2 separate regions of the Mus musculus genome follow, and region 1 is reported to be linked to region 2. The links are microRNA targets in miRTarBase. Many come from high-throughput screens and were not tested one by one. Region 2 holds a microRNA gene; the other region holds the end of a gene's coding sequence.
Evidence for each region. The annotated mature microRNA mmu-miR-3081-3p reads UUGCGCUCCGAUCUCUGAGCUGG and lies in region 2 at 2,253-2,275, opposite strand. An mRNA with a match to its seed (bases 2 to 7 or 8) in the 3' UTR can be bound and repressed. Matches are read on the target gene's strand: a 7mer-m8 pairs with bases 2 to 8, a 7mer-A1 pairs with bases 2 to 7 and ends in A, and an 8mer does both.

Region 1: the mRNA of Pla2g7 is a reported target of mmu-miR-3081-3p. Seed matches in the 3' UTR shown: 7mer-m8 at 2,530-2,536.

What each region holds. Positions count from the first base shown.
Region 1 is chr17:43,611,302-43,614,579 of GRCm38, reverse strand. Pla2g7 (phospholipase A2, group VII (platelet-activating factor acetylhydrolase, plasma)) reads right to left here. Exons shown (of 12, transcript NM_013737.5): 11 at 3,163-3,278; 12 at 2,379-2,737. The coding sequence ends at 2,601. Among named protein-coding and RNA genes, the nearest start is that of Tdrd6, 17 kb to the left of the region's middle.
Region 2 is chr16:44,555,806-44,559,083 of GRCm38, forward strand. Mir3081 (microRNA 3081) reads right to left here and starts at 2,324; the gene lies at 2,241-2,324. Boc (biregional cell adhesion molecule-related/down-regulated by oncogenes (Cdon) binding protein) reads right to left here and starts at 3,065. Exons shown (of 19, transcript NM_172506.2): 1 at 2,633-3,065.

The DNA of each region.
Region 1 (3,278 bases), not on the chromosome of region 2:
CATCTCACCCACAACACTTAACCATTCTTTAAAATAAAAAGATCTGCCCAGTGTGAATAAGGTGAGCGTATGTGGATAAAAATAAAAATATCAGCCCATGTAGTCCTGTGGGGACAGTGAGAATTAAGCATTGACAACTGGGTGTTGCTGGGCATGGTGTCTTTACACTCAGCACACTTGAGGCAGAGGCAGGCAGACCTCCGAGTTCTAAGCCAGCATGGTCTACACAGTGATTCTAGGCGAACCAGAGTTACACAATGAAACCTAGTCTTAAAAACATAAAATGTGGGTGCCATTTCAATATGTGGAAAATGGAGAAGTTGCATTACAAAATAAGATGCTGGGCAGCTCTCTCAGCAGTTATGAGTGCCTACTGCTCTAGAAATGGACCAGAGTTCAGTTCCCAGAACCCATACAGGACAGCGCATAACCATCTGTAACTCTACTTCCAGGAACTACTACGTTCTCTTCTGGCCTCCACCACCTGCACATGCACAAGAAGTGGCTGGCACACACACATACACACACACACACACACACACACACACACACACACACACACAGAGAGAGTCATACACAGACACACCAACACATCACACAGACTCTGACATACACAGACACACACACCCCAACACACACACACACACACACACATACACACACACTTACATTCACAGACACACAAACACAGAGACAGATACACACAGACACAAAGAGACAGAGAATTCTTACAAAGTAATAATTGAAAAACCTTGGTTGTCTTTGGGATAAATGCAATAGAGAGTTTGGCTGGGGTAGTGAAGTGTTATAAATTACCAAGAGGAAAAGAAGTTGCACTATGGCCAGAATAGAAAAACCTTCAGTTTTGTGTGAAGGAATTTTATCTGTTTAAAGACTTAATCCCAGCACTTGGGTGGCAGAGGCAGATGGATTTCTGAGTTTGAGACCAGCCTGGTCTACAGGGTGAGTTCCAAGACTACACGGGAAAACTCTGCCTTGAAAAACCAAAATAAATAATAAATAAATGAAGTTAATGTAAACAGCAACTGGGAGGAGATGTCCAGTTGCTCGGTGTGAGTGAGTGACCACCACTAAGTGGTGGCAAATCAGAACATAGCTACCTACTACCTGAGCTAGAAAAGGATCAAACCTCAAAGCTGACAACCCTTGTTCACACTGGCCAAGCCCAGCCACACTCTGCTGACTCCGGAGACGCAACCGGACAGTTACACCAGAATAGGTACTTAACCGATGGACAGCCTCCATTCCTGTACATTCTCAGCAAACAAACCCATTTTCTACCCAGTTCTCAGATGTATACGTGTGTGTGTGTGTGTGTGTGTGTGTGTGTGTGTGTGTGTGTGCAAGCGTGCGCACGTGCCTTTGAAGGGCTGGGGAGATGAATCAGTAGGAGCTGCACATGTGTGATGGCATGCACACCCCCATGCATGTGCATACATGAATACACACAAGTATCTCCTATGTGTGCACACATAGTACACACAAAATGTTATAAGACCCCCTTTAAACTTCCACTTAACTGTTAATCTTACAATGTCATCTCTCACAGTCTCTCTCTCTCTCTCTCTCTCTCTCTCTCTGTCTATCGGTCTCTCTCTCTCAAGTTTTTTTCAAGTCAGGGTTTCTCTGTATATCCCTGGCATCCCTGGTTGTCTTGGAACTCACTCTAGACCAGGCTGCCCTTGAACTCAGAGATCAGCCTTTCTTTGCCTCTTGAGTGCTGGGGTAAAGGTGTGTACCACCAGGCCGGGCTAGGTCATACAAATAAAACATCTAATGTTGGCTGAGAATGTTGACCATTTCCTTTGTGTCCTTCACAGTCTTTGCGTAAATACCTAACGTGTCTGAATGATCCCTGGCCTGCCTACTCACAACACCTCCATTTAGTAAACAGAACGCACCGGAAATTAAAAACCTAATGTGCCAATATTGACTCTATTGCCCTGTCCCAGATATTCTAAAAATCCTCCAGCACAACCCCTTTCATCCTCAGTTGAAACAGGACAGCATCACCCATCCTGCATTAGGACTGACTTCGTGATCAGATCAATGGATGCTCCTACCCTCAGCCAAAGGTCATAGAGGCATGCCACCAGATTCCACACAAGCTCTCCCGCTGCTCAGTCTTAACTCTGCTGCTCAGACTTACAGAAAGCCAAAGATGGGATAATCTGTTTCATTGTTTAGTTTGTGATAATCTGTTTCATTGTTTAGTTTGGAAATCTTAAGTCATTTCCAATGTGTTTTGTCTGGCATCGTTCCTGACTAGAGGCTTTAATTGTAAATGTAACATGAAAGTAGCTTTTCATTTGACACTTAAAGGACCAGCTTTGTAAAATTAAGATTTAGACAGACAATCATTTTTGTATTCTCTATTTTATATTCGTTACATTTACAGGGGGAAAAAAATCTTAGGCTAGGCGTTCATCACTATCCTACAGTACAGTGTATATTTAAAAAATGCTTATTTGGGTAAATACATTGCTCGCGCGCGCGCGCGCGCGCGCGTGCGCTCTCTCTCTCTCTCTCTCTCATGTCACTCTACTTTTAAAAGGCAACTGTGTAACAAGCAAGTTCTTCTAATTCTGGGTCTGTGATCCTGGAGAGTGTTGCTGAGCCGGGACCTGGGTGACTGCGTCAAAGGGTGACCCAGGAATCAGGTTCTCATCATCTCCTTCCACCAGAGGGTCCCACTGATCAAAGTCTTTCTGAAGCCCTATAAAAACCACAAGAAAACTGTCAAGAATGTTAAACAGCCGAGGGCCGCTAGGTGGCACCACAGAGCCACAAATTACAGAATCATCACAGTGATAATGGAATTCCTAGGGCCCAGGTTGCATTCGAAAATGCATAACCTCCAGAGCTGCTTCGAGACAAGCAAGAGGCTGTCAGTACCTTCAACATGTAACTCCACTCTAGGGTTCATAGAAGGGCTGTTAGCTTCAACGAGTACATATATATGGTATGCATATATGCACATGCACACACATTAATGCAAGGCCACATACTCCTCTTTTTGAAATGTTTCTTTTCAAATTGATTCACTGCTTTGTTTACCAAAAGCCAAGTGGAAACAGCTACAATAAGACTATGTCCCTATTTGATCCTGAGAACCTAGCAGAGGAACGTGCTGTTTCTTACCTAAATGCTTTTGTAAGAAAGCCATCGAAGCTTTGTTGGTGAGGTCGATGGCTACTCTGGAATCGATTTCTCCTTTCAGTGTCAGCTTGTTTCCAATTATTTTGCCAGTTACAAAA
Region 2 (3,278 bases):
TACCAAGTGCAATTGGATCTTCAGCTATTGTTGGAAAGACACAAAGATGAACCCTGGAGTGACTAAGCGTATCAGTGACGACTGAAGTTTGAACCCAGACCCCCCAGGGCCCCTGGACCACTGTGGTCCTCAGCCTCACTTCTTGCCCTCTTTTCTTAAACCCCAGGAGCCTGTGGGGAAGTGAACAGAATTACTTCATGAATAAAATCTCCTATTCACCGTCAGACCATGGAAACCACAGAGAGGCCTGGAAGAGAGCAGGGATCTCATACCACTGAAAAATTACTTCAAAGACAACAAAACCTTGGGCCCATTTGGAGGATGGAAAGGGACATAAATTACAGTCTTTATCATGAATTGGACAATCATTTGGCAGCAAAGCAGGGTCCTCTAGATTCTTCCTCTCCAGCTGTGGCCAAGGAACTTGCCCATCCTGGACTCTGTCAACTTTCACTTCCAACTGCCCATGATTTGGCCTCTTCTCCTGAGTGAAAGTCCCTTGCAATGTCGTGTTTCTGAGATATCATAAAAGAGTGACAAAGGGCCAGTGTCTGAGACCTCAGTCCTTGGATTGCATAGGTACAGGCAGCCTCATCCTGAAGGAACAAATCCCGAGTCTCCACAGGAGCTGGCCGTGGCAGCCAATAGACATGGGGACTATAACTTATTTTATTTTTTGCCTCTGCATAAATTCACTCTGAAAAGTCATCTAGCTGGGAAGTCATAACTCTACTGCTGTTTCCACCCCGATTCTGTCCCGCTGACCCCAGAGTACTTCAAGATTGCCATGGGAACCTCCTGGGTCTCAATTATTAGACCATTAAGAAGGGCCAATTATAAGACCTCAGAGAGCTCCTGGGAAACCTGTTCCACACCTCAAAGTGGCCAACCTCTTGCCTCAGAGTCACTTTAAGTAAAGCTCAGAAAACAGGACATCCAGATGTATGGACACCCAAGCCCTTCATGTTGATCTAACAAGACCTTTTTAATGGTTTCCACGCTATTCTGGAGAAGACTTATGGCCAAGGCAAAAGATGCAAAAAGAAAAAGAAAGGAAGGAGAGAGGAAGGGAAGGAGGGAATGGAAGAGGGGAAGGAGGGAGAGAGGGAAGAAGGAGGGAAAGAAGATCATGGGGCGAGGTTACTTAGATTTAGAAGCCAGTGGTAGAATAAATCAGAAGTGTTTACAATATTCAAGAATCCATGATGCTACATTCATTAAGCGATCTGTGCTTTCAAAATTCTGGACAACAAAGAGCTAGGTGACAAACGTGCTGGTCCAGGACATTTCAGGCACATGGCCTGAAGCAGAAGCACGCTTTTCCAGTCATCCGGTAAGAGGTAACTCCAGTTCACACACTTGCTGCCATGGAGCTTGCTGGGAAAGAATAAGGGAGCACACGGCACCTCACCACACCCAGAAAGTGCCTGTTTGGGATTGCTGGTATGTGGTTTGGGTATTCTTAGACGAAACTGCCACATCCCTAGAGGACAACTCTTGTTTCAAGGGACTGAGCATGGGTCACCCCATCTCCAAAAGTCAACAGAGCCACCTCCAGGTTGACCAGTCTCTCAACCCCTGAGTTCTTTTCCACCAGGAAAACCGACAGACCCTTCGTAATCCCCGCAGAAAGTTCATTTTGCCTTTCCCTTTCTTCCACAGCCTTCTCTACCACTTGACCCACAAAATCACTTCTCAACCTTCTCATAGTTAATAGAAACAAAACCCCAGTGGGACACCACACACACACACACACACACACACACACACACACACACACACACACACACCTCTTGCTGATGCTTTACTCTCACAGACACCTCTGGATGCCAATTAATTCAGTGCCTCCCATCCACCGGTCCAGCCAAGAAGATTTTTTAAGAGCTGTTTAGCTTTTGGTCTCCCTTGGTCCCTGACTTAGGATTTTCCTTTTAAAACCTCGCTGATAACTTCTCCCCTTAAAGAAGCAAATCGGTGTCGAGTGTGGGCTTGTTCCCACCGCTTGGCTGTGCAACCAGGGCACCCTGTCAGCCCTTCGGGGTGAGTTTGGGAAGATGTCTGAATCTTCCTACCACCGGAGCAGCTTCCGGGAACCGCGGGAGCTAACCGAGCCAGACCGGGCAAGAGAGGGAAGCCCGGCGGCCCTCGGCTGGGCGGAGGAGCACAAGCAGTGGCGGCTCCGGGAACTTCGTGCGGCGTCAGGCCCTGACTCTAGTCGGATCCAGTCAAGCGCTGGGATTCCGGGCAAGAGCCCAGCTCAGAGATCGGAGCGCAAGCCCGAGTCCAGCTCACCGCTCCAAGCTCCAGTCTGAGCCCCAGCCCAGCGCTCGAGCTCCAACCCAGAGATCCAAACTCCGTCTGAACCCCAACAGAACACCCTGAGCCCCAAAGTGAGCCTCCAGCTTGAAACCCAGTCAAGCACTAGGGGCCCCAACCCCGGTCCTAGCCTAGCTGCCGGAGCCCCAGGCGGAGCCCCAGCCCAGCGCTTGGAGCCCGCGCCCTGCAGCACGTCTCCCGGGAGCCCTCGGCATCCCAGGACGGGCGGCCGCCTCCCACACGCCTCCTATCCCCAAACCAACAAATAAACACAACTTTTTATGAAAAGAAAACAAACTTCAGCGACATGACTCACCTCGCCTGCAGCCGGAGCCTGGGAAGAGGGGGCCGGGACTCCGGGTCCCGCGTGGTGAAGCGGAGAAGGGCCACACGGCCCCCGCGCACACCGACACACACACGCACAGCGCGGTGACACAAGAGGACACACACCACGGCAGAGTGGCCGCAGCCGGAGCAACAAAAGAGCCCAGGACCCAGAAGTTGCGGCCGGAGGAGGAAGGGCTTGTGTGGCCGCGGCGGGTACGAGGTGCGAGAGTGTGAGAATGCGGCCGGCCGGAGCTGACACCAGCGAGACCCAGCTCAGGGTCCCCACTGCAGGAAGCCAGAGCCGTGGTGGCAGCGGCGGCAGCAGGCGGGCAAGGCAGAGGACGCCGCGCCCAGCGCACCCAATCCCTCCATATGGAAGACGCTTTTTTGGATGACTGAACTTGCAAACAATTCCTTCTTTTGCTTCTCCTGCCTAGGAGCCTCCCATTACCGCTCGAAGAGGGGAGGGGAGCCGAGGAGGCGGGGAGGAGGGGGAGGAGCAAAAGGGAGCAAAGCAAAAAAGTCTTGAAAAGGAAACTGGAGTGGGGGGGGGGGGGAGGGACCACAAGTCCCCCCCAATTTTAGAACAATTTTTCCCTTAACGCCTACTTTCTTTGCACTGCGTTAAATTCCCT